Linked DNA regions of Sus scrofa. The protein of the gene in region 5 interacts with the protein of the main gene of each other region in a pairwise test. Links are inferred from orthologs where the notes say so. Each region holds a gene or a part of one and is shown on either strand. Other genes may lie near its edges. The genes, in order: melanoma-associated antigen B18-like, TDRD7, IL16, LMO1 and GABPB1.

Region 1 (5,043 bases), on a different chromosome or scaffold from region 5:
CTCCACAGACAGCCTCATCTAGCCTACCACCCAGCTTAAATCAACAGGATATCCCACTGAGACACTTCTATTTTCCCCAAACCCCAAACTGCTGTTCCCCAGGGAATTTGCACCTTACTGTTTTCAGCCAGACACCCTCCCCTTCCCTGCCCCCTTACCTCCTTACTCTTTTTTTTTTTTTTTTTTTTTTTTTTTTTTTTTTTGTCTTTTTGCCTTTTCTCAGGCCGCTCCCACGGCATATGGAGGTTCCCAGGCTAGGGGTTGAATCGGAGCTATAGCCGCCGGCCTATGCCAGAGCCACAGCAACTCAGGATCTGAGCCGCGTCTGCAAACTACACCACAGCTCACGGCAACACCGGATCCTTAACCCACTGAGCGAGGCCAGGGATCGAACCTGCAACCTCATGGTTCCTAGTTGGATTCGTTAACCACTGCGCCACAATGGGAACTCCACCTCCTTATTCCTTCTTAAGACTCCTTTAGGTATTAGAGGGTATTTCACCATCTTCTGTATATGATTACTGCTCCTTGGCTGTAAAATTCTAAAGGCAGTGGTGTTTTGTATCCTAGTTTCACCATTTCTAACACAGTAATTTTCAAAGAACATATGCTCATTTAATATTTGGGGAAGAATGAGCCAGTGAGCATGAGTTTATAAACAGTTTATTTCTCTTACATTCTTTAATAAGCTAAGCAAGTCCAGGTACATATCTTTTATTTTTTACAGAACAACAGACTAAAGTGGATAATGGAAACCAAGAGCTGCACTTTTTTTTTTTTTTTTTTTTTTTTTTTTTTTTTTTTTACTTTTTTCCTCTTTTTTTTGATCCCAGCAATTTTACTGCTCATTTTTTTTTTTCACATTTCCAAAGAAATGTCTATTACCATGCCAGGTTTTTTTTTTGTTTGTTTGTTTTGGTTCAGTAAATTTGAAAGGTTTCCCAATTTGTTTTATAAAATAATAAAACTCCTTAAATCTATTAAATTAAATCTAATAAATATGTAACTGAAATAATTAATAAATTTAGATTCTGCAATTATTTCTACCTTCTATTAAAGAAACAACATTTAAAATATAACCAAAGGAAAGAAAAAGTGACAGGAAGGAAGGGAGAGAAGGAGGGAGGGAGGAAAGAAAAAAGAAGGGACAAGAAAAGGAAGGCAAAAGATTAAACTATAAGTTTACCATAGAGAACAGAAACACAAAGATGATATACGCTGTGTTCTTTCCAGACCCACTGGTCATCCCCCACTTAAAATGTTACTGCTCTTTTTCCACAAGGAAAACAATATTTCTTAGATTTCATCATTCGAAATACAACCTAAAGAAAGAAAAAGAAAGGTAAAATTCCAAGTTAGCAATATATAACAGGAATACAACGATGATATACTTCTCAAGTCCCACCCTAGCCCTCCACCATTAGAACATTGCCACACCTTTTCAACCAAAAGTGAAGAACTGTCCTCGGACTTCACTTAGCATGGGAGAGGTTGCTGGCTGTGGCCCTGGAGCGCACACTGGCCATGGCCGCAAGTCGAGCCCTGGCTGCAGCTCTGGCTTGGGCTCTTTCTTCCTCATCTCTCAGAGCCTCTTCGTACCAGGATGGGAATGCACTGGGCACAGTATCATGAACCTTGGCTAAAAACTCCAGGACTTTCATCTTGCTGGTTTCAGCATGTGCCCTTGGGCCCCATAGGAACTCATATCGAGGAGGATCACTGTCAGGAACCTGACGGTACTCCAGGTACTTTAGCTGCACCAAATCTTCAGTGATAACCTTCTTGGGATCCCCATAGAGGAAGTGCTTCCTCTCAGCATATACACCCATCATATTCAGCACTTCCCAGATCTCCTCTTCAGGGGCACATTTGCCATTCATGAAGATCACACCCAGTACAATCATTAGAAGGCCAGTCTTGGGCATGTTCTCTTCTTCATTCATCGTTCCATCAAAGGTGAGGTCTAGTTTGCTGACAAGGGCATAGCAGTGCCTGGTAGGATCCACTTCCTTCAAATCAACACCAAAGGCCAGCTCCATGTGCTCAGAGGCTCTCTTGAGGATCTCATTGAAATGATATTTGTACTTTTTAATAACAAACTTCAGCATGTCTGCCTTCGTAATTGGCTCTTTTTTTTGATACTTTTGCAACAGGAACTGTACCAACAAAACCACCTTCTTGTTTAAAGGATCTCTGCGTGAGCCCTCAGTGCCCCTGGAGGATTTTGAGCTTTCCTCCTTTTGGCTGCTGGTACCTTCATCCGAATTGGTGCATGAAACAGCTGCACTAGCATCGGTGGTTCCCTGTGGCGCCTCAGGAGTGCTAGGTGTCTCAGCAGCAGATAAATTCTGAGGTCTGTCCTCAGTGAGAGCATGGACCAGGGACAGGGACTCTCCTGCTGCTGCGGCAGTAGCCTGAGCATCTTCCAGACCCTGGGTCTCAGCACGGGCCTGGCGGCGTTTCTCACGGGCTCGGAGCTTACTCTTCTGTCCTCGAGGCATGATGACTTTGGTCAGGGACAGTAGGCACAGTTGTTCAAGCAATTAGGTTTTTGGAGAGGTCGCCCTAGAAGACAGAGAAAGAAATGGTGTGCACAGCCTCAGCAGGGAGATTCTTCCACCTTGGCTGCCAAGAAAAGCTGCCTTTGCTGATTTTCTTAGGGGTACTGTTTTAGGAAACCACAAAACAAGGGTGGTGAGACTCTGTGGACCTCCTCTGATCTGCAGAGGCTTGTGATCTCAGTTCTAACCCAGTATACTAAACTTGGCTCCTGACCAGTCTTTTAACTCCTCCTGCTCTTGACTTGAGGCTGCCCCTTCAGACCAGGGCTTCTCACACCACAAATTCTCCCACTGAGAGTTGGGGAGGGGCATTGGGCCTAACAGCCCTGTTTGAGCCCCTTGGGGTTAAGGGTGGGGATGGAACATGTCAGAATATGGCGGGACTTTGCGAGGACACCTCAGTGCTGGGAGGAGTCTGTCCCTTCAGTTCAAACAAAGATTACTCACCTTGACATCAGTCCAATCCTGGAACTCCTCCCTCTGCTGATATGGGACCACACTCCTCAGACCTAGGCCTAAGTTTCCATGGCTGGTGTGGCAGAAATCAGGGTGAGCACTTCTTGCCACGCCCACCCCATCCTCCCAGCAGGAGTTATAGCAGGGGTGGGGTTATGGGGAGTTCTATCTCGGTTCTGGGAGACTGAGGAATCATGCAGAACTCTGGAAGGAGTTTTTCGTGACTCCTGACAGGGCCTGGGACTTCTTCCTCTCCTGAGATAAGTCAGCTGGCCTCTGACCAAGGTTCTCATTTCACTCAGAATCCCAGGTAGGAAGTAGGGGGGCACCTGAGTCTAATGGGACTGACAGTAGGGGCCCCTTTGTGGCCCCTTAATTTGGGGGGTTCCTCACTCAGTCTTCACTCAGTCCTCACTCAGTGTCTTACCTTGATGCCTTGTAGGTGCTGGGTTACTTCCTTGCTGATTCAGTGCGAAACCTATCAGGTAAGGCATAAGCCCGTAAATAATTTAAGAAGAATTGACATCTGTACAATATTCTACTCACCATAAATAAACATAATATTGTTCTATTTGAGTCTTCTTTTACCTTAGTGCATCAGTAATTTTTTTTTTTCTATTTGCTTCCATAAAGATCAAGTTTGTTAGTTCTCTTTTTAGGTGTATTTGGGATATCAATGCTATTTTGAATGGTGTTATTTTCTATTACATATTCTAATTAGTTATTTGTTTTGTGTGGAAAGAGTCTTGGTTTTGGTGTGGTGATCTTCTGTACCAGCTTGCTTAAGTTCCTTATATATTTTAATATTTGGCAGCCAGTTTCTTTGGTGTTTTTAATTAGAATATCATCTTTCATTATTTATAATTTTTATTTTGGTAATGCTGTGTATTACTGTATGTTGGCCATGCAATCCAGTCCAGGTTTGAATAGTAGAGTTGGTACCATACCTCTCTGCCCTCTTCTGGACTTTATTGGGACTGTTTCTAACATTTCACACTTACATATGTTTGCGCTTGATTTTACCATATGAAAATTCCATTCTAATGTAAGTTTTCTAGAAGTTATTACCATGAACTGGTGTTGAGTTTTTATGAAAAGTTCTTTACTCCTGCCAATGGTTAAATACTTTGTCTTTTCTGACTGTTAACATGCCGAATGCCAATACTCTTTGTTGGCAAACCATTCTAGAGGTGACACTGCAATTCTATTAGAAGATACATAGACTGTAGTTTCCTTTGTGGTGATATTGGCAGTCATTGAAGATCATCACTGCCATCCATTAATCCATTAGAGGCTCCTGAGTTTTAATTCTCTAATTCTATCATTCCTTCTCAAATTATTAGCTGAAATATAATATCTATAGGTAGAACTTTCTGTTATCCTTCATTTTGTTTTCTTGAGATCAGCCTTACAGTGGCCCTATTTTACTGCCAAAAGAGAGAAACAGAGAGAGACAGAGAGATAGAAAGAGATAAAAAAAGCTAAATTTTTATTTGTCTAATCAATATCAGAATATTCTTTCATTCAAAATTGTTTTATATATATTTTATAATCTTAGTAATGAAATATCTTGCTAAACCAGTTGAGAGAACTAAACCAGTTAATAACTGGCTGAATAATTCATCTGTTATTTATGACTATTAATGAGCAGCTTTGGAATAATCAGTGTTCAGACCCTAGTGTGTGTCATATGACACATTATATGTGCCTAAAGATAGTTATAATTTTAGGAGACATATAAAATTTTCCTTTGATTTATTCAAAGACAGCTTTCTTTGAAGGGATATGGTTTCTCTGCTCTTTCTAGATAGTTTACCATCATTATGCTAGTTGAGATTTATTTTTTTTTCTTTATAAGTTCTAACTTGGATTTTGCAAGTAGTATGCATGTAGACACAAAAACAGATTGTGGCACTCCTTCTTCTGGGTTCACAGACCTATTCAATATAGGACTGTCCTAATGGACTTCTTATCAGGATTCCACTAATGTGGCCAGTGCAAAAATACCTGATTTGTTTGAATAAAT
Region 2 (6,459 bases), about 120 Mb from region 5:
AAAAGTGGGGCAAGGAATAGGGGAAAGTAATGACAACCTGCAGGAAAGCAAGGTTTAAACAATGTGAACAGCCTAAAATAATTTTCACACTCAAAACTGAAGTTTGCAAATGCACAACATTTCTAACACACCTGACCCTGAAAAGGGTTCTGGGAGAGTCTTATTCTGAAGAGCCAGGTTTGGTGTCCTCTAGATACCTGCTTTTACCACTGGCTCGTCCTCCCTGGCTCAGTCATGTGCATGTGATGTGCTTCCTGAAGCTGGAGCTTCCTCCCTCCTGAGGCCCAGAGACCTTTAGCCAAGCTGATCTCCCTCCCATCTGTGCTCTCTCCGCTCAGCTTCTCTTTTCTCAACTATTTCCAGCTGCATTATTTGGCTCATCTTCCCCATTGCACTTTTCGTGTTATAAATTCGATTTGAAGAGTGGCACTAAAAGCCCAAATAAATCGGAAGAATTGTTAGGGTAAACTGAAATCACCATGCAATCTCTCTTACCTTCTTTAGTCAGCTACTCAATTTTTATTATTCCCTTAAGGCACATACTTCTGGTAAATGGCTGCCCTTCTCCATGCAGACACTATCTGTAGCACTAAGCCAGGCCCCTAAAACCCAGAATGTCTGTGCTGAAAAGATTTTAGGCATCCTCCAGTCTATCCCAAATCCCTCATTACAAAAAATCAATAAACTGAGCCTCAGAGAGGTAAAGTTTTGGTGATTTCTCACCTTGCAACAGTTTAATATATTATCTTTTCTTTCCAACTGTAGTCTATTTGTTACACCTGAATTATTCCTTTATCAATTCTTCTTAAAAAGAAAGATAGTTATTAATGCCCTCGGGTAGTGATATTCTCCCTCAGGGTAACTTCAGAGAGCTGTTTCCTATTCTTTTTTTTTTTTTTTTTTTGTCTTTTTGCCATTTCTTGGGCCGCTCCCAAGGCATATGGAAGTTCCCAGGCTAGGGTCTAATCGGAGCTATAGCCAACGGCCTCTGCCAAAGCCACAGCAACTCGGGATCCGAGCCGCTTCTGCAACCTACACCACAGCTCACGGCAACGCCGGATCCTTAACCCACTGAGCAAGGCCAGGGGTCAAACCCGCAACCTCATGGTTCCTAGTCGGATTCATTAACCACTAAGCCACGACGGGAACTCCTTCCTTTTTTTTATTATTGTAATTTCAACCTCCAAATTATACATGCATTACTAATTACACAGTATGAATAAATAAGGGCTTTCCATAAATCTACAGGCCAGAGGAAAAAACCCTGAGATCGTAAGTGGCTTAGTTAGGAGTTTGGGTCTTAATGCCAGTTCTGATTCTAATTAGGTGTGACTCTGAGCAAGTCTCTAAGTCACTTTTTTCATATGGAAGAAAAAGAGGATGGACAAGATCCACAGTTTCCAACTTTCCCTGGTTTTCCTTCAAGGGCAAAATAGGGTCCAAAGATCTGATGGAAATCATGGGTGTGCTTCCTGTTGACAAAGCAGCAGAGCTAAAATACTGAGTTTACTCTGGGGTCACGTTGAGTGTCTTGTGCCGATCAGAAGCATTAACTGCCATACATCCTCACACATATTTTCAGTTAAAAATGACAAACTGCCTTTAAATTGTTTGTATAAAAGGCAATATTTTGTAAAAAACTGGCCCAATAGGGGAAATAATGAAAAGAATGAAGCTTCTAAAAACACAAAGGCAGGAGCAGGGAGGAGAAAGGTAGTTTTCCATCAAGAAAGAAAAAAACCAATTCACATAGATATGAAATGAGATTTCACTCCAAGCACCAAGGAACCTCTGTCCGTTTTGTATGTATCTGCTGACCCTGAAGCTTTGCCCAGAAGCAAAGCATTCATTCTATGTCAAATCTCGGTTCTCAGAAATAGCACTTGCTCACAGAGTCAGCACTTAAGAGTTGGATTCTATTTTTCCTTTACATTCATATGAAGTCTCTAACTAGACTGTACTGCACTGAGAACTTAAAGAGACATCCTTCAAAGAGTTAAATCTCTAGGTACAAAATACAATAGTTCATTCAGCCATGTTCAACTAGGACACTTAAAAGGGCATTAGCAGGGATTACATTTCATTTCCAATCTACAGGGGCTGTAATCTGAAGGCACCACCAAGTGCTACTTCACAGTCTCACTATGTTTCTCTAGCACACAGGGAGGCTGTGGGCTGGCAAAGGGCCCTGGACGGGAGGCACAGGGGATGTAGGTTCTACCCCGGTTGGCTCCACAGCCATTTCCCGCACCAGCACAGTTCATGATGCTCCCTGAATGGCAGTTGAGTGAACGTGCAGAAACCTCCACCATGGTCCAATTTATATGATAGACAGAACTTAAAGTTATGTCCCTGCCTCCAAGAGAGTGAAACACAATTATGTAAAATATGGGAAGTCTGGTGGAAGGAAAAGAGTTAACACTTCTTTATTACTATGAGTCAAAGGGACTACAGTAGTTATTTCACAAAAGCCTTGCAAAGTTAAGTATTTCCAATTGATAAACAGAAAGCCAGGCTCAAAAACACTATGTAATTTGTTCAATTTACACAATTACGAAGTGGAGAAGCCCAGAAGCCAAGTCTGCAAAGCTCCCACTATGCACAGTATGCAACACCAGCACATCAAAGCAGATGGGGAATAGGGACTTGGGTCTAATTTTCACTTCGGTCATTAAATTGTCATCTATCACAAGGCAGGGCACTTTTCAGCAAATTTTCCACCTGCACGAAAGTGGGGAAGGAGGGATGACCCAGATCAGTGGTATTTTTGTTTTCGTTTTGTAGGGTGGCTTTCGGGAATCTTTGGGGCCAAGACGTTTTCTAACATCGCTGTTTCCCTTTCCAGTTCTTTGAAATTGTTTGGGAGTGAGTGGTGCCCTTGGTTATGTATGGAAATGTACTGCACCTACCCCCTCAAGGAGATCTGAGCAGAACAGTCATGCGGGCTCCGAGCCCTTAAACTGAGGCTGAGAACCTGACCCTGTTGGGGGTTCTGGCGAAAGTAAAGAGACAACTCACTCTTGGATTCATATTTCCCTCCTTACTTGGTGCTCTGTACCCACCAGGTGCTCGCGGTTTAAGAGAAGCGGATAGTTATTTGTGTCCTACATTACTTAAGCGGCTTGCAGGGCTGGTCTGTAAAGAGAGGTCCGTGCCTTTAAGGAACTTAAAGTTCACGGTGTAAAATACGGGAGTTCAATAGCCAGGGGGCCCGGCTATCCCTTGCTCCAAGCGGGCGGCTGGGGGCCCCTGCGCCGGTACCAGGAACCACTTCCTGGTCATCATCTCCCGCCCCCTGTCCACACCCCCCTGCTGCATTTCCCCACTGCACTGAGTTTCCCAGGCGTCAGGGGTCCGTCCGACTCCCCAGGGGTGAACGCCCAGACAGCCCCGAGCGGTCGGGGGAGGGGTCCCATCAAAGATTTACAACACAACGCTCTGGAACTCCAACTCCCTGGAGCCCAGCCCGCTTTCCTGGGTGGAGACCGGGGCATCCTCTGCGGCTGCAGGGAAGAGGCCCGGGGTCCATTCGAGTCCCGCTCGGGCCACTGTTCCGCTAGCGACCCAGGTGCGTTGTGCCAGCCTGAAACCTCGCCAAACCTCGCCCGGCACCTGTCGTTTCTGCAGCCGGCGGGACCTGCGCTCACCTCGTTCTGGGGGCCTGCGGCCCGTCCCCGCGCCTCTGGGCCCGGCTCTCGCCGCCGTCTCCGCCAGGGCCACAGCCGCAGCCACCGCCCACTTTCGGTTTCCCCAGCACGGCCGGAGCCGCCGCTGCCGCCGCCGCCGCCGCCGCGGCTCGGGAATCACCTCAAGCCCCCGCCCCGCCCTGCTCGGCCCCGCCCCGCTCCGCCCCTCCCCGAGGGCAGCCCGGCTTCGGCTCTGCGCACGCGCGGGCACCCCGGCCGCGTCCGCCCACGCCGGCGTCCGCGCGTGGGAAGGGAAACCGACGCCGCCTAGCGGTTTCTGCGCGTGCCCACGCACGGGCCGTCGGCGGAAGACGACGGCAGGGCGGGCGCAGGAGCGCCTCCACGTGGACGATGCAAGAACGGGCGGGCCGGGAAGACCCGGGACCCAGCCCACTTCACCAGCACATGTGTGCGCCTGCTATTGCATTCGCGTACCCGTCAGATGTCTCATTCAGCTCTCGCTCAGTCTTTTCTTCGTTTCTGGGGCAGTTACTTTTTATTCTCTCAGACACCCACCTGGTCCGCTCATTTCCTTTCGGTCTTTTCTCAAGGGTTACCCTTTCGAGGAGGAGCCACCTTCTCAAAAATGTCTTCTCCTTCGCTAACATTCCCTGTCCCAACGCCTTCTCACCTTTCTCTCTCCTTAGCACCCGGGTAGCACACTCTATGTGTTTTACTTACCTTTTCGTTGTCTACTGTCCTCCTCAGATTAAAACTCTATGAGCTCAGGGATCTTTGTTTTGTTCCGTAATCTATTCCCAGAACCAAGAATAGTCCCTGGCACAGGGTAGGCTGACATAAACATTTCTCAAATTCATTTATTCATTCATTTGTTATAAAATTACTGAACACCTAGTATTCACTTTTTTTTCTGCACATTAATTCTACCAACATTTATTGGGCATATTGGTTTGTATTCCTTAAACCAACTATAAACACTTTGCTGCATTCATTCTATATGCCTTTACTGAGGGCCTACTATTTATTCAAACAGTATTTTTTACAGCTTTATTAAAGTATAATTGACATGCTACCCATGTTTAAAATGTACACTATGATGTTTTGACATGTGTATACAGCTGTGAAACTAGCACTGCTGTAAAAATAATGAACATATCTGTCTCCCCAAAAGAGTTTTCTCATGCACGTTTATAATCCTCACCTCATGTGCCTCTGTCCCTTGCCTTATCAACTGCAGCTTTGTTTTCTGTAGCTATAGATTAGTTTGTTTTTTCTAGAATTTTATATAAACAGAATCATATATGTGCTGTCTTTTTTGGGGGGGGGGGAATCCAGCCTCTTTCACTCAGCAGAAGCATGTTGAGATTCATCCATATTGCTGTGTGCACCAAGAGTTCAAGTCTTTTCATTTCTGAGTAGTATTCCATTGTATGGGTGTATGAAACCTACCATATGACCCAGCTATTCCATTCCCAGCATTTACCCAAGGGAAATGAAAACATACGTCCACATAATGACCTGGACAAGAATATTCATAGCAGTTTTGTTTGTAACAGCCAAACAGGAGAATAACACAGACCTCCATCAGTAGGCGAATGGACATTTGTATATTTGTACATACAACTACCCTGTACAGAACAACTGCTATTAATAGAGTGCCTACTATGTTAAGGCACAAGCCTGTGCTTGAGGAGCTTTAGATTCAGTGAAAAGAGGTAGTGGGCAATGAAGATGGAGATTGGAAACAGACTCTGGAAGGCCTGATAGCCATGCTTAGGAGTTTGGGCTTTTTTTCAAAGGCAATGGGAAACCGTTCAACGTCTTCTCTGAACACTGCTCTCTTTTTTATGCCCACATCTAGTCCCTGACTAAATCTGCCCAAATGTCTCTCCTTGGCAATTTTTTCATCCCCACTGCTGTATTTCAGTCTATTTCAGATATCTCTTTTCCTTCTCTCCCCTCCATTCTGCTCCAAACACTGCATTGGACTTAATAAACCTAATACACAACCAGATTCAATTTGGACTCTGCAGTGCTCATACATCCCCTGGCTTCACATTTAAGATTGGAAAGATGTAAAAAGCGGCTCCCAATTGAAAGATGGCCGGTTGGAGTAGGAAATTAGGACAAACTCCCAAGTCCAATATGTAAAATAAATCATGAAATGATGTGAGTTGACCCCAAGTCTGAGGCCCTTGCAAAAGGAGTCCATGTTTGGACTGGCCTATCTATAAGGATAAATGATGCTCTGCAGTAAGTTTTTTTAAAAATCAGTTGCATTGATTAATAGTTTACATATAATAAATATTTTAAGTGTACAGGTTAATGAATTTGACAAATGTATTCAATCATGTGTCCACCACCACAATGGAACCATTGAACTAATCCATTGTTTCAAAAAGATCCCTCCTGCCTCTTTACAGTTAATTCCCCCCTACCATCTCCAGCCCCCAGCAACCACTAATCTGATTTCCGTCACCATAGCTTTGCTTTTTTGAAAATGTCACGTGGACAATACGCAGTTCTTTGTATCTGGCTTCTTTCCCTTAGCATGGTGCTTTTGAGAATCTCCAGGTTGTCACGTGTATCAGTAGTATATTCCTTTCCATTGCTGAGTAGTGTGACATCATATATATGGATACGTCATGATTTGTTTATCTATCACATTTGATATACATTTGTGTTGTTTCCAGTTTGGGGCTATTCTGAAAAACTGCTATAACAATCACATGCAGGGCTTTGGTCATATGCTTTTCTTGCATAATGACTTAGGAATAGAATTGGTAGTTGTAGGATAAGTATATGTCTGACT
Region 3 (5,700 bases), on a different chromosome or scaffold from region 5:
AAAGACAAAAAAATATATATATATAAAATAAATTAAAAAAAAAAGAAAACTGACAGAACACTGTAAACCAGCTATAATGGAAAAAATAAAAATCATTTAAAATTTAAAAAAAGCCAAGGCTCTGTGTGTGTGTGTGTGTGTGTGTGTGTGTGTGTGTGTAAATAAAATCTCCTGGGAGATATATATAGATATGTAGATATAGATATAGATATCTAGTATATATATAGTACCTTCTGGGTTTGACTGACTGGTTTGAATCTTGCTCCAGCAAGAATCTGGATCCAGCATGGTGAGTCCTGGGTCCTGACGTCTTTGCTTTGCTCAGGTTCACAGGGTGTTCCCTAATGGGTTGGCCTCCCAGGAAGGGACTATTCAGAAGGGCAATGAAGTGCTTTCCATCAACGGCAAGTCTCTCAAAGGGGCCACACACAACGATGCCCTGGCCATCCTGCGTCAAGCTCGGGACCCCAGACAAGCCGTGATTGTCACAAGGAAGCCAACCCTGGAGGCCTCGCCTGACCTCAACTCCTCCACAGATTCTGCAGCTTCCGTCTCTGTGGCCAGTGACATCTCCATAGACTCCAGTGAGTTCTCTGTGCCTGATGGGAGCCCCGTGGACCCTCTCATCTTCAGATACGTGAGGGAAGCTGCTGGGTGACATGAGGGCTGCCTTGCATGCTGCTCAGATGTGTCTGGGTTCATCTGTGCACGGGCCCAAGTTCACTGGCCGCATCAGCCAGGCTTGCGTGATGTGCCCTGTCTGTAGGCTGGAGAAGAGGGCGTCCCTAACAAAACCCCTGTGTTTTTCTCAGCAGCAGAGGCCACAGTCTGCACGGTGACCCTGGAGAAGACCTCTGCGGGGCTGGGCTTCAGCCTGGAAGGAGGGAAGGGCTCCCTGCACGGAGACAAGCCTCTGACGGTTAACAGGATCTTCAGAGGTAGGCTGTGTGTCTGCCTCTTGTCATTCTCTCCAGCTGCGGGTGTCAGGCCAGGCCCCCGCAAGGCTTCTGGGCACCCTCTAGGCCATGTCAGTTTCTCACAGTCCCAGGCCCTTTGGGAAGGCAGGCAGGCCTAGTTAAGGACATGACTTTATTTATTTATTTTTTTGGTCTTTTTAGGGCCACACCCACGGCATATGGGGTTCCCAGGCTAGGGGTCTAATCGGAGCTCCAGCTGCCGGCCTACACCAGGGCCACAGCCACACCAGATCCAAGCTGCATCTGCCACCACCTACAAAACAGCTCCCGGAAATGCTGGATCTTTAACCCACTGAGCAAGGCCAGGGATCGAACCCGCAACCTCATGGTTCCTAGTTGGATTTGTTTCTGCTGCGCCACGACGGGAACTCCAGGACTCGACTTTCTTTTTTCACCTGTTCCCTTTGGCTCAGACATCCCCTAATCCCTCTGTTTTTCTCGGTGTTTGTAAGTGATCGAGCACTGGGCTTGGGTCAGCTTGGCAGCACTGGGACTTGGTGAGGCAAGTGGGATGCTCTCCTGGGCACAGAATTGAAGCGGGCACCAAAAAACTGTCATCAACACACATACAACATACATACTATTTCAATGCAATATTTTAAAAACATCAAAATTAATTCAAAAAGCCCGTCATAGGGTGTTCCCGTCACAGCTTAATGGCAACAAACCCAGCTAGCATCCATGAGAAAGCAGGTTTGATCCCTGGCCTCACTCAGTGGGTTAAGGATCTGGTGTTGCTGTGAGCTGTGGTGTAGCTCCGATTGGACCCCTAGCCTGGGAACTAGGGTGCGGCCCTAAACAGACAAATAAACAAACAAACAAATACATCATGAACAAGATATCACGTTTTAAATACAGAGTCTGACTTTTCACTTGCACGACTCGGCCTCAGTCACTTCACCCTACTCCTGGGCCCTTCAGCTCCTACTTTTAATCAAAACTTTGAGATTTATTCTTCATGGATTGGGGAGCAAGCCAGTCCATAGTGGGGGATCACTTGGATTTTCCTGCGAAAATCATGAATGGCCCATACTCTCACAGAGAATCACTCCTGATTCTTCACTGCTTCTCAAGCTGGACCCCCGGAGTCACAGAGCACAGAAGTGTAGACAGGGAGTCATGGCTCAGGTTCTAGTCCCAGCTCTGCTTCTAACTTGCTGAGTGACCATTGCCTTCTAGGCCTGGGGCACCATATCTGTAAAAAGAGGTGCAGGTGTGTGTCTGAGAGCTCTTAGTACTGAGACCCAAGTGCTCTCCTAGCTCTGCTTCCTGTCCCCCTGGAAGCCCTTCTGCAGACTGGTTTTGTTAGCAGGAGATATACTACAGCTGCTGAAACCCAGGGAGTGGACCCAGGCTCAGGGGGAGGCTCCCCAGGGATCCTTGTTGATTCTAATTCCGGGAACAATTCTAACTTTTGAAGGTCAGCTTGGAAGGAGCATAGGGTTCAAAGTCAAGAGACCTGGCTTCTAGCGTCAGTTCTGCCACTAATGGCAGCATGACCTTGGACAAGTCCCTTCACCATCTTGGTCCCATTTGCTCACATGGGGATTAACCTCTGAGCTGCAGGGTGATATGGTACCAGGGTATGTGAGTTCTGGAGTCAGAAAGTCTGGGTTCAAATCCAGGCCCCTCCACTCAGCAGCTTTGAAGCTTGTATGAGTTATTAGAATCCTTGGTTTCCTCCCATGGAAAAAGGGAATACAAATACTAGGTACCTCAGAGGATTATTGCCATAAATGCAAGGTGTAAACACAAGGACTATTCTATATATAATTGCCCAATATAGTTTAGCTATTTTTCTCATCATCATCATTACCATTATTTTTTACTCTTATTCAATACCCGTGAATATCATTGTGTCAAAGAGACGGGAGACTTTTCTTTCAAGGTAAATAGCCAAATAGCATTCTTTCCCCAAGTAGCTTTGAAAGAGTGGGAGCCGTGTGTGGTTATGTCTTTACCTGGACTCACGGGTCTTCTCCAGGCCATTCAGAGCCAACAGTGCTTGAGGATTGTTTCATGAAAATCCCACCAGCTCTGGTCCAACACCACTCAATGCCTGCTGACCTCATTAGAAGTGGAGAGACCACATGGAGAGGAGTGGGGTGTTAGGATGGTGTCCAAGGAAGCTTGGAGGAGCACTCAGTTCCCAGAGTCCCCTAGGCCCTGTGGATGGCTCCCCAACCAGGCTCTGGCTTGGAGACGCCTGCAACCTCCCTTCTTTGCAGACAGCACAGGGCTCACTTTTCCCAGGGGCCGCAGAGAGCTGGAGCCCAGTGTGCCATCCTTGAAGGCACACCATTTGAGGAGGTGCTTCACCAAAACAAGCTGCAGAGGGATGGGTGCCAGCTCCCTTCTGAGCTGACCCGGGTCCTCAGAGACCAAGGGTAACTCCTCATTCTCTTGCCACTAGTGGAACCCATTGTGTCCTCTCTCTTCTCAGGGGCGGCCTCAGAACAGAATGAGACGATCCAGCCAGGAGATGAGATCTTACACTTGGCTGGCACTGCCGTGCAGGGCCTCACACGGTTCGAAGCCTGGAACATCATCAAGGCCTTGCCTGATGGACCTGTCACGATTGTCATCAGGAGGAAAAGCCTCCAGTCCAAGGGGACCACAGGGGCTGGAGACCCCTAGGCCGAGTGCCAGTGCTGATGCCAAAGCCAACAGCACACAGCTCCCCACAACCGCTCATTCTCAGGGTCACTGTAACCCCACCTGATGGGGGAAAGCATAGGTGTGTTTCCTGGTGGCTACCGGGTCCAGACCTTCTGGGATACTACCCAGCAAGAGGGTTGTCCCAGATGTTACGGCAGAGTCACACTGGGGTGGCTGATACAGACTACAGGCTATGTATAGAGAGAGCTTCATGATAATATTGTGGTGCTGTAAATAAAATGGATCTATTTCAATTTGATTGGAAATCCATGTTTTGCTTTGCAGATTTTCCAAGTCCTCTCATGGTGCAATGACCCACCCCAAACAGCAGCCTTTGTTTTTCTCATGACTCTGCACTGGTGGCAGGCCTGGAGGGGACCACTCATCCTGCTCCACATGGCATCAGCTGGAGCAACTCAAAGGCCAGGGGTTGGAACCACCCACAGGGTCACTCACCCACACATGGGGCTGCTGATGTTGGCTGTTGGCTGGGAGCTCAGCTGGAGCTCTTGGCCGGGACCCTTGCTGGGGGCCCCTCCCTGTGTCCTGGGCTTCCTCACAACACAGCGGCTGGGCGTCCCCTGAGAGTGTGAGAGCCAGGGAGGAGCTGCATCCTTTTCAGGACCTTGCCTCCAAAGTCCATCGCTTCTGCTGTGTTCGAGCAGTCAGAGCTGGTGCAAGCCTGCCTAGCTTTAGGGAAAAGGGAAAGATGGCTGGGGCTATTTTTGGAAAATACAATCCATCACACAAAACACCTACAAAACTGTTTGTCTTTGGGTTGGAGAAGTGCTCCTAGCAAGGGTGGTACCTGGTGGCAGAGCAAGGGAGTCCAGGTGAAACTCCATGTGTGCTTAGCCATGTCCGCAGGATGGACTGGCATGAGTCTGAGAGGGCAAGATGCAGTGGCTGCCATTTACCTCCCACGTGCCGAGTACCATGTTGGCATTAAGCAGACACGGTCTTTAGTAACCACAGCTGTGTCTACAGAGCATGGTACTGTCCCACTGAATAGATGAGGGCACTGAGGCCCACATCTACTGAGGCAACAGGCAACCTGTCCAGCTGGTAAGTGATATGGAGAGGGCAAGTCTTTTCTTCTGTGGTTTTGAAACTGACAGCATGAATGGCCTGAACCCATCCAGAACACAGACTTGGACTTGAACCCACGTGCTGGGACTCCAACACAGCTTAAACCCAGATTGGGACTTGAACCCACAGTTTTCAATTAGAATCACTCACCCTGTGTCTGGACTCACTGAGGTTCCAGTTCTTCATGCCTCCGCACAGAAGGAATTCAGTGAGAGACAAAGTGATAGGCAAGAAACAGATTTATTAGGATAGGATGCTTGTGAGAGGTGCAAGTGGGCAGGCACGGAAGCTCTGCTCCAAGGATCCAGTGGGCTACAGTTTTATCATCTAGGGGAGTAGGGGTTGGAAAAGCCTTCCTCTTCCTTTCTGGGCACAGTAGCTCCTCCTTCGTATCAGGTAAAGTGTGTATTTAAATCAGCAGAAGGGCGGTCTTCAAACTCTTGCCCTTGGTCTGAATCTGAATGCGGGCCTCATCCCATCCCCCACCTAATGACCTGAGACAATTCTCGCACCTCCACTAGTCAAGCCTGCCTTGTTCTGATGGCTTTTTTGAGCAATTTATTTACTTACAGTGATCTCCCAATGTCCCCTAAGTTTCCCTCATTATCTGTGGTCCTTTATTGGGACTTCTACAACCACCTGTACCTACTCCATCCTTATCAGTTTGGCAGAGACTAACAGACAGGCCAAGATGCTTTTAAGTGCAGACAGAACATTGTAGGGAAAATAGCTGTGTGTGCCTGACAGAAGGGCTGTTTGGTTTAGTCACCACTTAATGCCTGCTTGTCCAGTTCAGGACAAGGAAATGCATTCACAACACCCAGCATCCCTTGACCAGGCCTGGACAGTGTATCTTCCCTGCTCCAGCCCCTGCTCCCATGAATAAGGATGCAAAGGGAGACATGGCAAGGAGCACAGACATCACACAAAAAGCAGTTTACGAAAGACCAATATTGGTGGGGAAATGTTAACGTCA
Region 4 (5,745 bases), on a different chromosome or scaffold from region 5:
AGGAGGGGGAGTGGAGGAGGTGGAGGAGGGAGAGGAGGAGAGGGAGGAGGGAGAGGAAGAGACGGAGGAGGGAGAGGAGGAGGTGGAGGAGGGAGAGGAGGAGATGGACAAGGGGGAGGAGGAGACAGAGAGGAGGGAGAGGGAGGAGGGAGAGGAGGAGAGGGAGGAGGGGAGGGAGAGGGAGGAGGAGGGAGGGAGGAGGGAGAGGAGGAGACAGGAGGGAGTGGAGGAGGGGGAGTGGAGGAGGTGGAGGAGGGAGATGGAGGAGGGGGAGTGGAGGAGGGGGAGTGGAGGAGGTGGAGGAGGGAGAGGAGGAGGTGGAGGGGGGGGGGGGGGGGGGGGGGGGGGGGGGGGGGGGGGGGGGGGGGGGGGGGGGGGGGGGGGGGGGGGGGGGGGGGGGGGGGGGGGGGGGGGGGGGGGGGGGGGGGGGGGGAGGAGGGGGGAGGAGGGGAGGGGGAGGGGGAGGAGGAGGTGGAGGAGGAGAGGAGGAGGTGGAGGAGGGAGAGGAGGAGGGGGAGGTGGAGGAGGGGGGAGGGAGAGGAGGAGGGGAGGAGGGAGGAGGGTGGAGGAGGGAGGGGGAGGGGAGGAGGGGGAGGGAGAGGAGGAGGGGAGGGAGGAGAGGAGGAGGGGAGGGGAGGGAGGAGGGGGAGGGGAGGGGGGGGGGGAGAGGGGGGGAGGGGGAGTGGAGGAGGTGGAGGAGGGAGAGGGAGGAGGGGGAGTGGAGGAGGTGGAGGAGGGAGAGGAGGAGGGAGAGGAGGAGGTGGAGGAGGGGAATAAACTGGCTGACTTTTCCAATCCTCTGTTCCCCTCTCCAAGGTAAGGAAGTGGCTCAGTTAAGGGCACTCTTCTCTGAACAGAATCTGAGGTTTTCCCAACTACCTTTCAGGAGGAGGTGACCCTGACCCCCGCTTCTGTTCTGCCCAAAGAAAGCCCTATCCTGCCCCCTGCCCTTCCCGGTCCTCTTCAAGTCCTGGAGCGTTCAGCCCTTACCCCAAAGATGTCCCCAGGGTAGCTAAGGCTTTTCGTGGGACCCCAGGGTGACAGGCCCAGGCCCAGCCGATCCTCTTTCAACCACCAGGTGGCGCTGCAACTTCACCGAGCCCTCCTGGCGGTGGTCGGGGCAGAGCTTCCTCCAAACCAGCTTAGGTAGGTCCCTCTGGACCTCACCCTCTGGCAACGCTTGCATGAGCTCCTTCCTGACCTGGGGGCTCCTGACAAAAGGGCCTGCCTTCTGGGGCTCAGCCCCAGCCAGGGCTAAAGGGCTCTGGCTCCTCAGATCCCCGGGGCCTCCCACAGGGCTGGGGGCACAGTAAGCTGGGGCCAACACACCAGAGAGGGGGCTGGGCTGGAACAAGAATCACAGGAGCGAAATTCTAAAGGCTATTTCACCCTCCAGGTCCGGGAGCCCCTTCTCACGAGAACACACCTACGTGTATCCATAGGTAGCACACGCAGGGCTCTTGTACACGTACATTCAGAAACACGCGTGCACAGGCAAACTCACCCATCCTGCAGACAGCACACACAGACCCCTTGCACGTGACGTGTAAAAATGCACGCATGGCCACGACACAATGCGCATGGCTCATGCACGGCCCTGTCTGTTACGTCTGTGTGGAGCTGTGCTCTACTCATGGGCACACACGGTACTGGAGTGCACATACCTGGCTACCAGGCCCACGTGTACATAAAATGCACACATGCACATACATGCTCCCGGCAACACGCACACAGAGAACCCATGTTTGCATGCCTGCCTCCGCAGCACAAGAGACCTGGCAGCAGCTGGCAGCGGGGTCTGCTGAGTGCATCGGGCCTGTGGCAGCCCACCACCCACCTCTGGTTGCAGAGCTGGCAGGCGAAGCAGTCGAGGTGGTAGACGTTGTCCCGGGCCCTCATCACCATCTCGAAGGCTGGGATCAACTTGCTGCAGGCGGCACAGTTTCCCGTGGTGCCAAAGAGCCTGCAGAGGGAGGGCGCGGAGAGCTCAGGGGCCTGCGGGGGCTGGCGGGAGGGCAGGGGAGTTGCCTCCAGCCGGGGCCCCACCTGCCCCCAACCCCTGCGGTTCAGTAGGTGGGCCTGGGCGAGAGGGGAGGAAGACAGACGGAAGGGTCTAATCCCGCTAAGAGGTCCGGCTTCAGATCAGCACATCCTCGCAAGGAGGAGGCCTGGGCGGGCCTTGAGTTGACTCGCCCTCCTGTCCTCAGGCTCCCACTAGGGTCCCTCAAGCAAGCTCCCTCGGCGGCTCCCCAAAGAGCCCAGGCTAAGGACTCCAGATTCACACAAGCCTGAATTTAAAGGCAGTCTGCCTATTGTGGGCTGTGTGTCCTCAGGCAAGTCACTGGGTCTCTCTGAGCCTCACTCACTTCAACTATAAAATGGGGACCTAAATACATCCTTCGCAGGCTTGTGAAAACTAAACACTCAGTCACGGCCCTTCTGCAAATGCCCAGACGCTGCCTGCTACGTGCCAGGCACTGCTCTAGGGGCTTCTCACAGACCAAGTCATTGGTCCTTTTTCTGGTACCAGAGGCCTTTTTCTGGTACTATTTCAGGAACTCAGGCTGTGACGTCTCTCCCTTTTCCCTTTTCTTGGACCTCAGTTTATCCTTCTTTAAAGTGGGACTGTTGGACTAGACGATCCCGTTCAAAGATGCTTCTAAAACAGAACAGATGCCAAAAGGACCTTCCAAGGACGACTGGCACCTCCTCGTAGTTGCCAACTGCAAAGTTCCAAGGACAGAGGGCTCCTCCCTCCCCACACAGGCCCGCCCTTGGCTGGATGCGCCAGCGGTCTGCTCCCTTTCTGTACGGTGGCAGAGGAAGCCCCAAGTGAGGCGAGGGCCTTGAGAGGCAGGCGCGAGGCCCCCTAATCCCTGATTTGTCCGGAGCTCAAACGCAGGCACCTGCAGATGAGCTCGGCTCCATTATTCATCAGCCTGAGCTGCCTGGTGGCTCAGATTAAGGCAGACAAAGGCCGGGCCACAGCATCTGCCTGCCAAGAAAGGCCTTTCTTACCACCAGTCCAGTGGCTGCAGAGGGGCAGGCTCTGGACGGCCATTCTCTGGGCTGAGCAGCTCCAGGAAGCCCCAGCCCCACCCCGGCCCACTGCCCTACCTGGCCCCAAGGGCATTCCTTGGCCTCTGCCAGAGCCCAGGAAAATATTTCAGGCTCCAGGAGCTGGCAGGGCCCGGGAGGCTTGTGGGTGCTTGAGCTCTATGGACGGGCCCAGCCTGCATGGCAGTCCTCCCTCTCCAGGTCCTGTGGACTCGTCAGACGGCCTGCCATCCTCCCCTCAACCTGGCAGGTTCAGCCTCCCGGTGAGGTCCTAAACCTTGGACTTGGAGGCCCCTCCCAGGCTGCCGAGGGCAAGTCCCCAGAAGCAGGTGGGTGACCTCTCCCCTGACCTCGGCATCTCTCCTCCAGCGCCGCCAGGAGCCCTGAATCACTCCTCCTGGTTTTCAGCACCATTTAAAATAATAAAACAAACTCCTGCAAAAGGCAGAAGTTTTAAAAGAGAAGGAGCGGGCAGGTAAATCCTGGGGAAAGAGGGGAGCCTGTGTTGCTAACTCCCCCGCCCCCAGTCCTGGGCCAAGGGAGCCCCTGAATCCCTGGGCCCACCTCCTTATTAAGGCAGGGGGCCTCCGCCCCCACCAGGCCCCGCCCCACCCAGCAGCCTGCAGGGAGCCAAATGCAGACGCTGGGTCTCAGCCAAGGCCCCTGCTTTGTGGCCTCCTTCCAGCCTTGCTGATGTCATGCTCGGCCCGAGGGGGTCATGGGTGAGGCGGCCCGGGAAAGGGTCCAGGCTGCGGGGCAGGGGCAGCTGGAGCTCTGAGGAACCGAGGTAGGGTTCAAGTGCTGGCCTTTTCACCAGTCACCAAGGGGTAGACTGAGGCGGGGGCACTAAGAAGCCAAGCTCAGAACTGGTCCCCAGTGTGGTCTCTAAGCCCCAAGGTCAGAGGCTCTTCTGCTCGGGTCTGGCTCCCCGCCGGGCTCCCGGCCAGGGCGGTGGAGGAGTCGGGGCATCTTCAGGCCAGAGGGGTCCGGGAAGTCAGGGCTTCCCACCCCCCTGCTCCTGGAGGCCCCTCCGAGGGGGCCCCTTCCTGGATTCTGGGAAGCGGCAGACTCCTGCCCTGGGAAGCTTCTCCGGTGCCCATGGGCACCGAGGCCCGTCTGGGGTGGGGCGGGCACTGGGCCCGAGGGGCGGGGCCCGGGCTGGAGTGGGCGGAGCCGCACCGCCCTGGGCAGGGGGCGGCACGGAGGGGAGGGGCGGGGGGGGGGGCCCACCTCAGGTAGTCGCGCCGGCACAGGATGAGGTTGGCCTTGGTGTACAGGGTGGAGCCCACCTCGCCCAGGCGGCAGTCGCAGCAGGCGCACTTGAGGCAGTCCTCGTGCCAGTACTTGTCCAGCGCCTTCAGCAGGTAGCGGTCTTTGATCTTGCGGTTGCAGCCCGCGCAGCCCTTCTGCTTCCCTTTGGGCTGGACCGAGAGCATCGGCACGCCTGCGGGGGACAGGCGACAGACAGATGGGCACGGTGGGCCCTGGGGCTCCCCCCTCGGGGCCCATTCTGCGGCCGCCTCCAGGGCAGGGGCTCCCAGGAGCCGCCCTGTCTCCCCAGCAATCACGTTCCCTGGCCCCGGTCCGGCCTCCTCCCCACCCGGTGAGGGGCCCTCCGCAGGGCTGGAGCCCGCGTCTGCTCTGCTGCAGGCAAGCAGCGAGCCCCAAGGCCTGGCCCCCCACGTCCGGCTCTCCATCCAGCCACTGTGCCCTGGGCCCTGTGATCCCCAGCAGGCCCGGGCCTCCCCACGCAGCCACCAGCCCACGGGCTCTTTTCTGCAGCCCTAAAACAGAACCTCATCAGGGGGCTGATGGTCCATTAGGCCTTCCAGATCTTTCTGCCACCTGGAGACGTGCTCCCACTGCTGTGTACTTGACTAGATTAACCCAACACATGAGGCTACAGCCTCTTGGTCTGTTCACACAGAGCCGTGCAGGTGTCAGGAAGAAAGGGAGATGCCCCCCCCGCCCCGATAAACCCCCGGGTGGGCTGGGGCTGGGGCTGGGGCTGGGAGGTGCAGAAGCCCGGTTGCTCCTGCTCCCTACCTGCCCTGGCCTGAGGGAGGGAGGGTTCCCGCCTGCCTCTGCACCCTTGCTTGTCCTGCCAGGATAAGAACCTCAGGCCCAGGTGAGCTTCCCAACAGACAAGAAGGTCGCAAGGTACAAGGGCAGGTATCTCAGTGTGGCCTTGCCTGGAGGGAGGGGCAGAACTCCCACAGGCAAGCGCCCCGTGCCCACGGGAACAGCCTGCAGGCACGGGCACAGGTGTGTGCAGAGGCACAGGCCCCTGGTCCCCCTCCCAGGGCCACGGGGAGGAGCCGCCGAGAAGGAGGTAGGAGCAGATGTCCCGGGGGCCTGGACGTCCCTGTGTGTGTCCTCATGTGAAGACAAGGCTTGGGGGGAAGCACGGGGGGGCGGGGGCAGTCTCGAGCCTGGCTGGACGGCAGCCGCCTGTGAGAGGGGTCTCAGAGCCCCTCTAAAGGCAGTGGGGTTGGTTGGGGTGCTCGTTCCCTGACGCAGGCCCAAGCACACTGGGGGTCACCCTGGAGGGAACAGCACGCTCCTGCCTGCGTCCTCGGTTTTCCAGCCGCTGGAGGCCGCCCTCCTCCTGTGCCCACCGTGTCCCCTGGGCTCTGGGTTCGGCCCCCATCCCCGGCCTCCCTCCCCCGGGGCCTCCGCCAGCGCCCG
Region 5 (5,745 bases):
TACACTTAGAAACTAGTTACAATTACAAACTACTTTGAGAGAAGGAAAACAAATGACATTTCCTCTAGTGACTTGTGAGAATGACATATTAACAGAAAATAAAAGGATGGAGTGCAAGAATCAAAGACATTTCAATGTTCCATATTGATAGACTTTGTTACAAACAAATTCTTCACTCATTCATTCATTCATTCAATATTTATTTATTAAAGGCTTGCTATATGGATAAGGCAAAAACACTAGACAAAAAAGTACTATGTTATTTGATTCTATATCAAAACAATATCGTAAGTAATAAATATAAAAAGAAAAAAAAAAAGAAAAGAAAATTGAGTTTATTTTGGATGACTGCAGCAAAACACACCGGGTAAAAGACTCCTTACTTCTATTTCTGCAGACTCCACCCGGTTTTCAATTATTTCGATACATTGTCTCTTGGCTGGTGGTTCTTCACTTATGACAGTTTCTTCAGCAATGTCTGTTGCTGGTACTGTTAATACTAAAATGAAAAAAAATGTACATATTACTTCATTTTCAGATAGGTTTAGAAGAATTAAAGATTCTAGTCTTGAGACTGTTGACGCAACTCATCTAAAATATTTTCTAAAAGAATTTCAAAATACTGATTTGCTTATTATAAGAAATGTCTAGCTTTGTCTTCACTTTCTTGCCTTTTTACTAAAAACTATATTGTTTAAAGTAGCTACTTATTCTTTCAAATTTTTATAGACAACATATTCATTCATATGGCTCAAAACTGAAATAATATTTAACAAGAATATTTTAAGAGGTCTAACTCTATCTCTGCTAACACAGATAATCACTTTTATTGGTTTCTCTTATATGGTTCTTGTGTCCAACTACATAAAAACAAACATGAATACATACTGTATTTTTTCTCTATTACACAAAAGGTAGCATACATATAAAACATACATTCAAACATACATACAAAAGATACACTGTGTCTTTTTTTCACTCCATATAGCTAGGGTATCATTCTTCTATACAGAGAGCTTTCTTTAATTTAGCTGCATTATTTTTTTTTATGGGATTTTTTTTTTTATGGCTGTATCATAGTATTCCATTGTGTCTTTGTACAACATTTCTAATTTATCTGCATTATATTTTACTGTATGGATATACCATTAGGAACTCTGTTTGCAAACTTTGCTTGTTTTCCCATTGGGTTGTTGACTTAGTCCCAATTTTTAATATCTCTTTACATAAATGTAAATATAGAGAGAGCAAGAGGCTATCCTTGCTTTGCACAGCACTGGCGGAACATAAAAATGACTGTGCAAGATGACCATGCAAAGCAATCTTAATAATGAGGAAAATCAAAACTGCCTCATAGGCTTTAAAGTTTTTTGTCAAAACATTCCAAGCTCTCCTACTGTCCTTTATAAATGTAAACAAATGAAAAAAAATTAGTAAAACTATCACTTAGTACAATGTAATTAAAAACATTAAAAATATTCTGGTAGTTTGGGATTAGTAGATGCAAGCTATTACATTTAGAATGGATAAACAGTGAGCTCCTACTATACAGCACAGGGATCTAGTCTCTTGGGACAGACCATGATGGAAGCTAATATAAGAAAGGGAATGTGTGTGTGTGTGTGTGTGTGTGTGTGTGTGTGTGAATGGGTCACTTTGCTGTACATCTAAAATTGGCACGACAATGTAAATCAACTATAATTTTTAAAAATTAAAAAAAAAAAACCAAAAAAAAAAAATACTGAGAATTACAGTATTTCTTTTAACTTATATCACATTACACTTATAAATTTACCCAAGAAACGAGAACCTTTTATCTGTTTCATTGGACTGTCTACAAAGTCATACTGTCATATGCCAGTTATACATTCTTAAATTTTGGAGGTTGAGATTTATTTTAATATTCAGTATGTTCCTCTCATTGCTCTTCTTTTGCAGTGTTTCTTATTCTTCCCTCCCTCCTCGCCCCACCCCATCAATACAAACTTGAGAATCTGTTTGGCTATTTCCAAAAAAAGACTGGTCTTTACAATGGCCTGAATTATGCCCCCCTCAAATGTTTAAGTCCTAATCCCCAGTATTTCAGGATATATTTGAAGATAGGACCTTTAAAGAAGTGAAGAAGTAAAATAAGGTCATCTGGGTGGGTCCTAATCCAGTATGCCTGGTGTCTTTCTAAGAGCTTAGGACACAGACAACAAACACAGACTGAGGGAAGATTATGTGAGGACAAAGCAGAAGGCAGCTATCTGCAGCTAAGGAGAAAGACCTCAAGAAACCAAACCTGCCAACACCTTGATCTTGGACTTCCAGCTTCCAGAACTGTGAGAAGATTAAATTCTGTGGTTTAAGTCACCCAGGCTGTGGTATTTTGTTATGATAGCCCTAGTCTTTTTTTTTCATATCACATTACATTTATCAATTAACTCAGGAGGCATTGAGAGCTTCATGATAGTGACTCATCCTATCCAAAAACTTAGGTTTCTTTCCATTTGTTCATCAATGAGATTAGAGTTCATGTATAATCTCAGGTTTTAGAAACAATGTTATATTTGCTTAATGCAAATACTTTGGAAGTTTCCTCTCTTCCATATAATTAAAATTAGTTCTTTAAAGCTATGTGAAAGTACCTGGGCTTGATCCAAACCTTGGACCATGAGCAGATTTCTGCAGAGCAGGAGAGAAATGCCTCCCAGGCTTTATGGGTCAAGGGTTTCCTCCTCCACTGCTACAGGGACAAAATCTTTCCTTGACACCTGGTCTCTCTGCAGGGCCATACCTCCACTGTCAACTTAAACCAAACCTGATTTAGGAGAACTTCTACCTCTAGGCATTCCCGTTCCCAAGTCTTTCACAGGCCATGAAGAGACTCAGTCTCTGCAATCCTAGTCATTTTCTAAAAGGATGTATGTGCATGTACTTTTTGGGTGAGGGGGAGGTGGTACTGGGTGCAAGGGAAACCTTGCTCAGACAGTAACTTTCTGCTTCTCTTTCTGCTTCCTCCAGCTTTCACGCTCCAGTCTATTTTCACCCTACTTGACGGCCTTCCTGCTCAAACTGGGCCCTGTCTTGCTGGGAGTACATATTTATTGCTGATTTCCGAGCTCATCCTCTTTTCTTGATGCATGATTGTGGGTTTCTCTGAGGGTTGTCCTGCCCTGGTTTAGACCTTAGATGCTTTTGGCAGCACTTAAAATATGGAATTGTGCCATTTTCTCAGCCTTTTAGTTTCATTGAAAATGTAACTGGGGCTTATGTTATGTCCCTCTTATTACTAGTTTCATTACTCAAAAGGAAAAAAAAATGGGATAATTATCAACAAAGCTGCTAAAAGTTGCCACCATGTTCCTTCTCTAAGTGCTAAGTCCAACTTCTTTTTAAGTAAGTAGCCTTTTCTAACATGGTATTTTTAAAAGTTGGTATGATATTTGAATTACATTAAATGGCTTAGGAAAGTAGTGTCCAATGCTGACTTTGAATTATTTATTTAAGCTCATTTTCCAACCAGGATACTTTGGGGCCAATTCTTCTTTCCACCTAGTATACACTCAGAGCAAGCAGGCAAATTTAAGAGTGGCCTGAACAAATAAAATTAGGCAATTAAGTCTGTTGTAAAAGGTTACTAAAACATTATTTAAGGCAAAAATGAAGGCTTTGAAAAACATGTCACAATTTCCTGAGAATTAAAAACGAACACAAACTTTATGTAAATGCCTCCTACCAACCTTGTTGTCCATCTGGCATGGTCACAATGATGGGCTGACCTATTCCACTGGTTGGAATGGAGTGCAAATTTCCAAGCTGAATTCCATCTGTAACTATCGTGATGACCTGTTGACCCCCTGAACTAACTACTTGCTGAATTGCACCATCCACAGATTCTGCAGTAACTACTTCCTCTGTAGCCACTACTGGAAAAAAAAAAAAAAGTAAAAATCAATGAACATATATAAAAGTATGAACAGAAGTTTATTTTTGTTCTGCTATCTTTGCTGTCCTCTTTCTTATTCAGAAAAGCTTTTACATGGTTTTTAAATTCAGCTTCCAGGGGTGCTGTACATATCTATGTAAACAGTGGACTACAAGTCCTACAATTTACAATGAATTTCAACTATCTATGCATCAACATTTTAATTAAATAAACTATCTTCGGGGGTTCCCATTGCGGCTCAGCAGTAATGAACCCAACTAGTATCCATGAGGATGCAGATTCGAAGCCTGGCCTCGCTCAGTGGGTTAAGAATCCAGCATTGCCATCAGCTGTGATGCAGGTCACGGACATAGCTCAGATTCTGCTTTGCTGAGGCTGTGGTGTAGGCCAGTAGCTTCAGCTCCACTTTGACCCCTAGCCTGAGAACTTCCATATGACACATATGCAGTCCTAAGGAAAAAAAAAAAGGCAAAAAATAAACAGATAAATAAATAAACTATCTTAATTTAGTTCTATGAAGTATGAAACTTTTAAAACCTCCTAAGGTCACAGACATGACAAGTTACACCAGCTGAACAAAATTCCACAAAAGAGAAAAATACTGTATGTGGTTATATTCCATTCACACTTACATATGAGTTAATAAACATTTCCATATCCAAAAAAATATGGAAATTTGTATTTTTCAAGTAGAACCAAGAGTATTTCCCTTCTGGACTGTGTGAACAAGGGTTGCCTTGACAGTAAGTGGCATATAGATCTGGTACTGTAGGCTAGTGAATGATGCAATATATTAACATTTACATAAATAAAATCTCAAACTATGCTCTTGATACTTTATGAGGGGTTCAGAGAAGATTCTGGCAGCTGAAAACGGCACTTCTGGTCTTGCTGAGGTAAAGAAACTGCCAAAATCTTCTCCCAAAGGCAATCCTATGGTCAACTATTGATCCCAAAGGACAGACACAGGAACATTTATAGAAGCTTTACTCAAAAACATGAATAAATCATATATTTGTCAAAAGTAGAATGAAGAAATAAACTGTGGTAGATGCACTGGAATACTACACAGCAATTAAAGTGACTAAATGCAAAACATGGATAAATTGACAAAAATAATGCTGAGTGATGTAAATCAGACACAAAATACATATTGTGTACTCTCCGTTTATGAACTGAGCAATGATTACACAGAAACGATCACTAAATTGTACATTTACGAACAATGCACTTTTCCATGTGTCCATTACATGTCAATAAAAAAGCATCAAAAGGAACAATCACAGCAGTGGATTATAACACACTGAAGTTTTGTTTCATTTTGTTTTAGGGGCATACCTGCAGCATATGGAAGTTCCCAGGCCAGGGGTGGAATCAGAGCTAGAGCTGCCAGCCTACACCACAGCCACAGCAATGCCAGATTCAAGCCACATCTGCAACCTATACCAGAGCTTGCAGTAACACTGGATCCTTAACACACTGAGTGAGGCCAGGGATCAAACCCACATTTTCATGGATACTAGTCAGGTTCTTAACCTAAGGAACTGCCAATAACACACTCAATTTTTAAAAATCCATTTATCTGTGATAATACGTCATGAAAAAGGAGAGAAAGGGGGAAAGAGCAAAGATCTTCTTGATAGAGAAGAATTACATCTAATTAACAAAATGAGAAAAATTATCATTGTAATTTCCCAATGTAATAAATGATTCAGGCAAGCATCACCAATGGATGTTAAAAACACTGGTGATATGCTTTTGCCAAACAAATGTTCTCAAAGTATCACACCAAAAATTTGTAGTAGTTACAAAAG

The links.
Region 1: the proteins of GABPB1 (region 5) and melanoma-associated antigen B18-like interact in binary tests that used the Homo sapiens proteins (3 or more experiments, as listed by UniProt). The two-hybrid records come from large-scale screens. The link is inferred for Sus scrofa from reciprocal best matches to the Homo sapiens genes GABPB1 and MAGEB18.
Region 2: the proteins of GABPB1 (region 5) and TDRD7 interact in binary tests that used the Homo sapiens proteins (3 or more experiments, as listed by UniProt). The two-hybrid records come from large-scale screens. The link is inferred for Sus scrofa from reciprocal best matches to the Homo sapiens genes GABPB1 and TDRD7.
Region 3: the proteins of GABPB1 (region 5) and IL16 interact in binary tests that used the Homo sapiens proteins (3 or more experiments, as listed by UniProt). The two-hybrid records come from large-scale screens. The link is inferred for Sus scrofa from reciprocal best matches to the Homo sapiens genes GABPB1 and IL16.
Region 4: the proteins of GABPB1 (region 5) and LMO1 interact in binary tests that used the Homo sapiens proteins (3 or more experiments, as listed by UniProt). The two-hybrid records come from large-scale screens. The link is inferred for Sus scrofa from reciprocal best matches to the Homo sapiens genes GABPB1 and LMO1.

Annotation. Positions count from the first base shown.
Region 1 is NC_010461.5:22,080,470-22,085,512, reverse strand, and holds melanoma-associated antigen B18-like, read right to left. Parts: upstream 2,597-5,043; 5' UTR 2,502-2,596; coding exon 1,473-2,501; downstream 1-1,472. UniProt on the Homo sapiens protein: May enhance ubiquitin ligase activity of RING-type zinc finger-containing E3 ubiquitin-protein ligases. Proposed to act through recruitment and/or stabilization of the Ubl-conjugating enzyme (E2) at the E3:substrate complex.
Region 2 is NC_010443.5:239,282,997-239,289,455, reverse strand, and holds the start of TDRD7 (tudor domain-containing protein 7), read right to left. Parts: upstream 3,742-6,459; 5' UTR 3,648-3,741; intron 1-3,647. UniProt on the Homo sapiens protein: Component of specific cytoplasmic RNA granules involved in post-transcriptional regulation of specific genes: probably acts by binding to specific mRNAs and regulating their translation.
Region 3 is NC_010449.5:50,098,446-50,104,145, forward strand, and holds the end of IL16 (pro-interleukin-16), read left to right. Parts: intron 1-325; coding exon 326-584; intron 585-812; coding exon 813-938; intron 939-3,420; coding exon 3,421-3,614; 3' UTR 3,615-3,901; downstream 3,902-5,700. UniProt on the Homo sapiens protein: Interleukin-16 stimulates a migratory response in CD4+ lymphocytes, monocytes, and eosinophils. Primes CD4+ T-cells for IL-2 and IL-15 responsiveness. Also induces T-lymphocyte expression of interleukin 2 receptor. Ligand for CD4.
Region 4 is NC_010451.4:1,076,363-1,082,107, reverse strand, and holds part of LMO1 (rhombotin-1), read right to left. Parts: intron 4,502-5,745; coding exon 4,288-4,501; intron 1,964-4,287; coding exon 1,838-1,963; intron 1-1,837. UniProt on the Homo sapiens protein: May be involved in gene regulation within neural lineage cells potentially by direct DNA binding or by binding to other transcription factors.
Region 5 is NC_010443.5:121,476,502-121,482,246, reverse strand, and holds part of GABPB1 (GA-binding protein subunit beta-1), read right to left. Parts: intron 3,912-5,745; coding exon 3,726-3,911; intron 500-3,725; coding exon 384-499; coding exon of another isoform or gene 365-383; intron 1-364.